2 linked regions of the Caenorhabditis elegans genome follow. The protein of the gene in region 2 interacts with the protein of the main gene of each other region in a pairwise test. Each region holds a gene or a part of one and is shown on either strand. Other genes may lie near its edges. The genes, in order: wee-1.3 and F13D12.3.

Region 1 (5,267 bases), 2.0 Mb from region 2:
AAAAATGAGGGAAATATCAAAATTGATGTTCTTTATATCAAAAATATAATGAGAAAGGTCAAAAATGAAGCGCGTCACAGTTCGAGAACAGGAATCAAGGTGGACGACTATGCATCAATTTGCATATTCATATCAAGACAGATCAGACGCCCAGAAGGCCAAACTGTGAGATTTTGAACTTGAAACAAATTGCAAAAAAAAAATTAAACAAATGCACAAAAAACGTTGCCCCGAACCAGGATCGAACTGGTGACCTCACGATCTTCAGTCGTGCGCTCTCCCAACTGAGCTATCGAGGCGGTGGTGTCTTTTTTTCAAAATGCATATAGAAGCACTTGTAATTTCTTTTTAAATTCTGAGGGTACGAGATTTTTTAATGACGGTTTTTATAGTCAAATTATTGCTGTTCTGTTGTAAGTAAAAGTTAAAACAATATATAAACTTTTGATAAAGGAAGTAGGTTTTACGATGTTTTCTATAGTTTTTTTTTTTGTTTTTTTGTGTAGTTTAAGAAGTAATTAATATTCCTATCGAAATAAATCAAAATGGCTATCAAAAGCTGTGGGAAATTTTTTTGTACTGTCCTACCTCCAGTACTACAAGAACAGGTTTTCTCTCAAGACCCTCTCGAGTTTATATTACACCAGACATATGTGTAATCGGTTGGTACCTACTTTATTCAATTCGAATAAATTTGGATTCTGTATGAAATGGAGAAATTAAAAAAATATACGTAGTTCAGATAAAATACGTTTTATCTTCAATTTCAGAAAAGAAGGACATAATGACAAGTTGTGTGTCTGTGTGATAATGGTAGTGCGATATGGTCGAGAGGGGGAAAGATTTTACAAAAAGACGTACAAAAATACCAGAAAATAAGCACCCAGAAGAAATAGTAAATAAAATTCGAGTAATGACACATTTGTGAAGAGATGGTCGTCAAGGGGGAAAAGAAATCAATCAATAACTAGTGAGAAGGACTACTGTAAACAGGCATAAAACCTAGGGGAAGTGATGATGGGATGAGAAAAAGTAAGAAAAGTACGAGATGCTAATAAATGCAAAAAATAAATATTCAACAATTTTTCTGATTTTTGTGCATTATTAAACCTCGTCGCCTGATGATCCAAATGACATCTGGAAAAAAAACATTTAATAAAAATCATTTAGCGTAAAACTACTAACCATTCTATTACGAGGCACAGGCTTAGCCCCTCTATTTAATCTTCTACGTGGCGATTCCGATTGCTCCAAAATCGTATGATGATCAACAGTCGGTTTATTCGATGGCTCGTCGAGAACGTTAAAGTTGAGAACAGGCATTCTCGGTAGATCACGAATGCTTCTTCGGATTCTTGGCGGACAAGACATTGGTGGTGGAGCCTCGTCGATCACATTATTCTGATCTGCCCAATCTAACTGTTGCTCGGTGAGTCGCATTCGGAGATATTTTTCCGTTCGTTCTTGATCACTAATTGGAATTAGAGAGTTATTACTAAATCCATCTCCAGATCCAGTGTGATGATTATAATGATTTAGCGACGATTTCGGTGCAACTGACGCGGCTACTTGACGATGACGGTTGAAAGTGAGATTACGACGAGCTGATCTTGGAGTTCCTCTGAAAAATAGCAGTTGGTAATAGAGAATCCAGAAACTTTTTGAATATTTAACAACAAAACCAACCGTTTTCCAAGTTTATCAATAACATCGTTCATTCTCGGCGGACTCTCCGGTTCATCCAATTGGGGCTCAATAGCTGAAGAGTTTGATGATGAGCAAGTCGCCTGTTCCTCATCGTCATCTTGATCGTTATCAAAGTTCAAGCGACACGGCACTGCACCAGTGAACAAACGGCGTTGCGCGTTTGGTGGATTCTCATCATCGGAAAAATCGAAAGGAGACACAATTTGAGATGCTTGGCGAACAGCCACTCCAGTAAGAGATTCCAAATAAACTTTAGAAGTCTCTGGAGTTTGGATGGGAGTGTGCTGCTGATTCTGAAAAATTCGAGTTGATAAAATTTTGGGTAAAAAAACTTATTACATTGACAAATTGCGCACAAATTTCCGATTGCCGGTCTTTAATTGCAGCATGGAAGCGAACAATAGGATGAAAGAGCACCGAGAAGAAAGCCATTACCCAGACAAGAACAGCACTGAAGGCGTAGAAAAAGCCGTTAAGCTGAAACCAGTGATTGTCAAAATCCCTCATTCACAAAACTATAACTTACAATTGAAATGCATTTTACATAGGTTCCACGCTTCATGAGCTTCTTCTTGATTACCGGATGATCAAGCAAATCTCGACTTGTTGGACGAATCCTCGGATCAGAGTCAAGCATCAAGGCAATTAAACTGCGAAGATCTGTAGAAATTCCAGCGAAGAATCTATCAGGAATCTGTCCATTTCTGATTTGATGCCACGAATCTCCATTTGATGGAACGTCAAGATCAGTAGTAGCCTCAAGAATTGTCATTCCTAGACTGAAAATGTCTGATGATTTCGTGGGACGGCCGTTCAAAACTTCTGGAGCAAGATATTTCGAGTCACCTTCTTCCGCTGATTTCACATCATTTGGCTGAAAATCGATTGAATAAAATCAGAATATTAAAAAGTATGAACTTACATTTTTAAGGTTAATAACCAAACCAAAATCTCCGAGTTTGCATATCATGTCCTTTGTAAGAAAAATGTTTTCCGGTTTAATATCATCATGAATCATGTCGTTCGAGTGCAAATGATGAACAGCTTGGAGCAAATCTACGAAAATATTCCAAATTTCGTCCTCCGGTAGTGCATGTTTCTCTGTACAATATTTCAAAAGACTTTGATCGCAAAGTTCTGTTTGAATATACAATCGACCAGTTTCCTCCCAGGCTCTGTAGAACTTGACAAGATTCTTATGCGGTGGAATGATCATATGGCTCTCAGCTTCTCGGTACTTGGAAATTGAATGTTGCCGGATCGGAGCTAACGATACTTTGACAGCATACAATTGGGAATCCTCACGGCATCTGGCTGCGAATACTTCTCCGAACGAGCCTCTTCCAATGATTTCATCGATTTGAAATACTTGTTCAAAGAATGATTGAGCATTTGTATGATCGTACTTTGGCGATTCCAGTGGTTTTGGTCCTGAAAAAATGCTTGAGATGTGTTGGGTTTATCAAAAATAATTAATGTTTAAAATAATCAACTCGACATACCCTGCGGAGTGACCAAAAGTGGGACCGACTCCTTCCGAACAGACCAAATGCTTCTTGTTGGTGGCATAGTTTTTATCATTTTCGGAGCTGGACGACGGAAACGTGGAGTAATTGCTTGGCGCTCACGTTTTGTGGAAAGTGGTGTCTCACGCATCATCATCGGGATTTGTGGTAAGCGTGGAGTGACCTGTGGAAGTGGACTTGATTGACCATTTCGAATGGAATCCATCGAGGAGTTACCCTCTGTGTCGTCCATTTTCACTGAAAATGAATAAATTAATCATACGCAGCGGAAAAAAGAAGGAAGGAAGGTCAAAGAAAATAAATAACATGTTTTATCAAAATTAATATCGACAGAAATTTTTTAAAATAGATTTTTGCGGTGCAGAGAAGATGCTAAATAGAGAGAAATCGATAATAACGTGTTTGGAACGTTTTCAACTAAAAAACCTTTTGATTTCTGAGAGTATATTGGAATTAACATTGAAATTACTATAATAAGATAATATTAGTATGAAGGAATGAATAATCAATTAGGCGGAGGCGACAAAACAGCGAGAAAACAAACAATTCTGCCAACGGCGATTGCAATTCAAAACAAGCGCGCGAAAGAGGAGAAGACACATTGTGCAAACACCGTGGCGCTCAAATGCAGACTAGACAGGGGAAAACAGCGGGATATTCAAAAAATAATTTTAAATATGGTGTTCAACCGGAATGACCAATTTTGCCGAAGAAAGGGTTCAATATTAAACTGTAGTGGGTCTTCTATGAGCGATATGAGACAATTTATCTGCTAGATATGTTTTGTAGTTTGTAGTCTAGCAGACCCAAAGAAAAATAGTGTTTTTTTAAAATTTCAATAATAATAATGTGAATTACATCACGTTAAACAAAATTTCAGTAGCTTGGATCTGTCGGACTATTTACATACTACAAACCGGTTTAGCAGATGAAAACTTTTAAGACTCTCCGATACGGCCTGTCAATTCAAGAGCAATCATCTACCTAAACACCGCAGAAAGTCAGATATACAGCATTGAAAGTAGAACAAAGGGAAATAAAACAGGAAAATTTTATAAAACAGGAAAATTTAAGAGTTAAAATTTATTTTACCAATAGAATTTTCATATTTAATAAAAAAGTGGGTGCAATAAGCAATCAAACCAGCGAATAGATTTTAAAAATTACACATATTTGCAATGGTTGGGGTTTAAAGAAATATTATAATACATGGTTTTAAATTAAAATGGGATATTTGACAAATGAATTTAAAAATTATTTTCTTGAATTTCTGATGTTGAACTAGAAATTGGTGGGCTCTCGCTTGACTGAAATTGGATTATTGCGGATTGTGCTGAATCGTTTTCTCATGGTACAAAAAAATCTGACCTCTTTGAACAACTTTTTGATCGATGAATCGTTCAGTGCGCGGATCAAAGCAGCATGGTCATTGAGGGCATCATTGAGCGTTGGTGTTGGATACGGGATGACTCCTCTGTCGTTCATTCTGAAAAATAGCAATGATTTTATAATTTAGATGAGAAAAATCAATTACTGTGAAGCCATTGCCACTGCTTTGGCCAAATCAAGAGGATCCAGCTTGTACCAGAAGAACTCTTGTTTGCGCTCCTTTATTTTCTTGCAATCGAAAACATCAATCCAGTTCTCGTCGTTGATTTTTTTCCAAAATTTTTGCGGAATCCTTTGGGGAAACGGTGAACGCGACGGCCGATCGACTTTCATTTGCGACGCTTTGAGCGATTGGATCCGAGAAGATAAACTCTTTTATCCTAAAATAAATGTTGTAATTATTTCATTTTTAAACCAAATATTCACCCCAAGAAACGAAGAATTCTCGTCGCTCGCTGCACCACATGTTTGTCCCTGATGTTCAGCATCATGAAGTGACTCGCCATCTGAAATTTAAGTTTGTAATTCCAATTTGGACACTTAAAGAATTGCCAAGTCTGGCCGCTTTGCCGGATTCGCATTATCGGCATTTTCGTGAGTGATTTGGCGTTTCCTTCCTCGATTCACAGCTGGGAAAGTTTGCGC
Region 2 (4,493 bases):
AATGTCAACTTATGAAAGAATGTGAATTGACCACATTCTAGGCCACATTCTACGTGGAGATGGCCTAGAATTCTTGTGCATAAATTTCAAGGTCACGCAAATCAAAAATATAGGTCTCGACACGACAAAAAAAATTGGTGATTGCAAAAAAGGTGTGCGCCATTAAATAGCACTGTCATTTCAAACTTTCGTTACTGCAGAAATTTTTTTACCGATTTTTCATATATTTTCGATTAAAAAAATTATTCATTAAAAACAATTTAATTGTTTTTAAAGGTGCACACATCTTTTCGCATTTGAAAATTGTCGTGGCGAGACCTGGTACCGTATTTGTGGCTCAAAATAAGTTCAAAACTGAGAAATTCAATCCAAATGCTCATTTTTATACTCTTTTTGTTCTCCAAGAGCCAGCTGAAACAGAAAGTAATCTGCAGACTTCAAAAATGGATTCCACTAATCCAAAATGGCTTCTGTTTTTTTTTTCACTTTTGCACGTTTCAACCGAAATATCTTGTCGTTTCCATAGAAACCAATTTCATTTGTTTTTTGAAGCATGAATTTTATTCGAAAAAGGTCAAAGTCGTGGTTGTTTGGAACAGAAAAAGTGCAGAAAACTGAAAAAATAACCGTATGAAAGTACTTGAGTCGGGTTTTGGAAGGGAATACACAAATTTGGAAAAAATTTAAACAGGCGGCATTGGAATATCTGGAATTGAAGCTTGAGGTGGGAGAGTTCCAGTTTCAGCAATCGCTGCCACATTGATGCCTGGAGGTCCACCACGAGCTTTTCGGACCTGAAAATTTATTTGAATTTTAGTGTTTTTTTTTTTTGCGGACTTCTAAGCCTACAGTAAACTTGTAACTACAGTAAGCCTACCTCATTCTCCTTTTCCGCTGCGTCCACCCTTGTCATCTCCTCATCAGTTGGTGGTGGAGCAACTCCTGGGGTAAGAGCTCCGGCTCCTGGCTCAACTCCTCCGAATAGTGGACCAGATGGTGTTGGTGGAGCAACAGGGCCTGGAGCTGGGATTGGTGGCTCTGGAACTGGCTCAGAAACTTCTGGAACTGGAGGCGGCACAATTGGCTGAGTGACAACTGGAGGTATCACAGCTGGCACCGCTGGACCTGGCTGAGCTGGATAGAACTGAGGTGGTCTTCCATATGAAGAGCTAGGCCGCGAATATGGGGAGTAGGTGGGTTCTGGGCGTCCATATGAGGATTTTGGTGGGGAGTAGCTTGGCTGTGGTGGCCCATAACTTGAAGGCCGCCCGTATGAGGATCCATATTGACTACCTCTGTTTCCATATTGATCCCAATTCTGGTTTTGTTGATTCCAATTGTTTTGATATGGATTATAATTATTATTCTGACCCCATTGGTCTCCTCCGTAACTTGGCCTAGAATATGAACTGCTGGACATGTAGGCTCCTCGGCGAGTTCTGAAAAAAAAGCGGATTTTTTTTTGGGATTTGAGATGAATATTTACATTAAATAATTTTATGGTAACCGATTTTTTTTTAATTTTTACTGTGCGGAATGTGGAATCTCGTTTGGCCACGCCTACTTAGTCGCACTTAAATGTGTACGAAATGAACATTAAAACTTTTCGCTGTAAGACCCAAAACAAAAAGGAAAGCCATTTCCGTAAAATGGTCAAATCTTTTTTTGTCTCGCAGCGCTGCGAAAATCCCAATTTTTTCGGTTTTTTTTAAATATTTCCGGATAATTTGTATTTATCATTCTATAAAATTTGAAATTTACAAAAAAAATCAATTTTCAAAATAAAAAGCTCGAAAACTTCATTCAAAACTGAATTCCCTACGCAATTTGCGCCGCGGAATTCGGAGTCTCGTTTGGCCCCGCCCACTTGGTTCTTTGAACTTTCAATTTAATTAAACTTTCTAGAGAAAAAATTCGCAAATTATAGGATTTTCATTATTAATATTTATGCTCCGAAACGTTGCCTTAAAAATTTATGCTATTTGAAGTTAGAACTAGAGATTTTTTTAAAAAATGTTTCCAAAAAAAATTTTTGAAATTTTTCTTGTCCTATATCTTAATAACCACAACTCCTAGCAAAAAGTTGTCAACTAACAAATCATAGAAAAATTTATGCAAATTATTTTCTCTGTTGACAATTTTTAGCCACAATCTATCACAAGAGAGATACAAGCTTTCAAACCCACCTTACGACAAATCCGTGTGCAATTGAAAATGACGCAATAAGAACGAAAATAGGGAGTGAGAACATGTTGAACGCAATCTTTATGGATCAATACCGTCGGGGAAAGAAAGTAACGAAGAAAAACACAAAATGATACGAAGACTTTGGTCACCTGTCTCTTTCTTAATGCCCTCCTTATAATCATTCGGCTGACGGGGGCGGGCATCGGGAAAATGAGTCAAAATTTGACGAACTTTTTGGCGAGAAAAAAGGTTTTTGGAGAATTGGAAAATAATAATAAAAAAGAGACAAAAGCATGAAGATGGCCTGTAACTGGTTGACCCTGGACAAGCAATGCGTCATACTTCGCAAGGGAACAGTTTTTCCAATCACATAGTGGTTGGCCTAGAAAATGCGAAAACTCAGCCAGCAATTTATTTTTGATTTCTCACGTCTTAAGAGGGGGTTCTTTAGTTCCGATTATCGGGAAAATGCTCCGAACTTATGGGTGACCGAGTTGTTGTTTTTTCAAGCCACGTTGAAGTAATTTTTAAGCATGAATAATTCCAGCTTTTCCAAAGAACTCAAATTTCAAAAATGACATCTAAAGGTACAAAATTGCATAAAACAACCGCATATTTCTTTAAAGTACCATGCCTTAACGCTCAACTTTGGAAGGTCATATCTCAATTTTCTTATATTTTATAAAAATTGTCAACTGACAAAATATTTATCATGTGATTTTCGATACTTTTGCTTTTTACACTTTTTCCATAACATAAAAGTTGATCGAGAGATAATCTATCAAAGTGAAGCGCCTACGCTGTCACAACAAAAAAGGGGGCGTGGCCAAACGAGACTCCATATTCCGCCAAGGAGCAATGTTTATAATTGTGCCATTTTACAGTTTTGCACAACCATAACATTGCCAATATTTTGAAAAACGGACTCCAAAGCATTAATTTCTAAATTCAAGTTCAAAGAACAAAGTGGCGTGGCCAAACGAGACTCCGAATTCCGCAGCACAGTTTGCTTTGAATTAAGTTTTAAATGAAGTTTTCGAGGTTTTTGACTTTAATATAAAGGTTTTTATAAATAAATAAAGAAATTTATCTGAAAAAATTCGCAATTTTTGCTACGAGATCCTCAAATGAACAGAGTTGTTCTATTTTCTTGAAAAAATCATTTTGGTTTTTTTTTACAACCAAAATTCAGCTCTAGTGTTCATTGTGCAAAAATAATAACTTCGGTTATTGAAACAATTTAGCCACGCTGAAAATTCCTTATGAAACCTGGAATAAAACATTTCTGTCTTCTCACAAAAAGGCAATTCAAAAACCCAATAACCTTTTCAAAATTTGATTAGAACCTGTTATTTTCGAATTCATTTTGACCTTTCAAAATACGCTACTGTAACTTTTGGCAAGGTTTTAGAGATTTTCAATTAATCGAAAATTCGAATTCTTCCCCGAGTCATCGATATTTCAGCCAATAGATAGAAGGTAACCACCAAACTTGTTTATACTTTTTTGTTCAACCGACCTGTTTCCCCATCTCAAATTACCACCCATTATCATCATCTGTCATGTTTTCTTGTTCCTCTTTTTTTTTCGAAATATCACAATTTCATAACTTGTTCGTCTTTTGACAATTTGAAACATCCGGTGGTTCTTGGACTTCAAGAACGGAAATTGCAAATTCAAAAGTTCTTATAAATTTAAAATACGTAGGTTTTTGAAAAAAAACACCTGCCTACCTACGTACCTGCCTACATAACTTTGCTAGCGTGTATCCCAGTTGTAAACCAATTTAGTCTAAATCTGACCTTCCTGTATTTAAGACACAACCTCAATGAGCACATTGCAATCTTCCCATCTGCTCACGGTAGAAGACGTGCAGCCATTACTGTGGTATTGGATCGATACGTCAGTTGGTCTTGCATTTGTTCTTTATTCTGTTTTTTCGTATATGTATTCAAATTCTGGAAATAATGGGAAATTGGTTTTCTTCCCCTCCTCCGACTTTTCCCATTCTTCGTCTTCCTCCAAATGTTGTAAGAAATGTGCTACGAATGATGCATCCAATTGTACTGTAAGTCATTAACTGAATTTATTTTAAATAAATTTGTTTTAAAGTTCTTAGTAAGACTGGCATGTCAAATAACAAATAAAAGTAGTGTACTGTGCGTTTACACGAAAGATAATCAAATGTCATATTAATAATTTCCTAGCTTTCAGGATTAGCATATCGTTCACATCGGAAAATGCAAGAAAGTTGGTAGAATCTCTCAATCTTATGGTGGCAGTTGAGCTAAACATTTCTTATCAAA

What was found.
Region 1: the proteins of F13D12.3 (region 2) and wee-1.3 interact in a two-hybrid assay, tested with the Caenorhabditis elegans proteins (one large-scale study listed by BioGRID).

The regions. Positions count from the first base shown.
Region 1 is NC_003280.10:9,712,998-9,718,264, forward strand, and holds wee-1.3 (Membrane-associated tyrosine- and threonine-specific cdc2-inhibitory kinase wee-1.3), read right to left. Parts: upstream 3,471-5,267; 5' UTR 3,466-3,470; coding exon 3,210-3,465; intron 3,139-3,209; coding exon 2,630-3,138; intron 2,582-2,629; coding exon 2,234-2,581; intron 2,185-2,233; coding exon 2,047-2,184; intron 2,001-2,046; coding exon 1,687-2,000; intron 1,622-1,686; coding exon 1,186-1,621; intron 1,138-1,185; coding exon 1,105-1,137; 3' UTR 740-1,104; downstream 1-739. Other genes in the region: Y53C12A.6 (uncharacterized protein), read right to left, coding at 4,481-4,540, 4,602-4,719, 4,768-4,778; Y53C12A.11 (PRE_C2HC domain-containing protein), read right to left, coding at 4,867-5,002, 5,049-5,128, 5,175-5,267. UniProt on the Caenorhabditis elegans protein: Acts as a negative regulator of entry into mitosis (G2 to M transition) by phosphorylation of the CDK1 kinase during oocyte maturation.
Region 2 is NC_003280.10:11,718,350-11,722,842, reverse strand, and holds F13D12.3 (Prion-like-(Q/N-rich)-domain-bearing protein), read right to left. Parts: upstream 2,442-4,493; 5' UTR 2,252-2,441; coding exon 2,187-2,251; intron 1,440-2,186; coding exon 878-1,439; intron 795-877; coding exon 684-794; 3' UTR 508-683; downstream 1-507.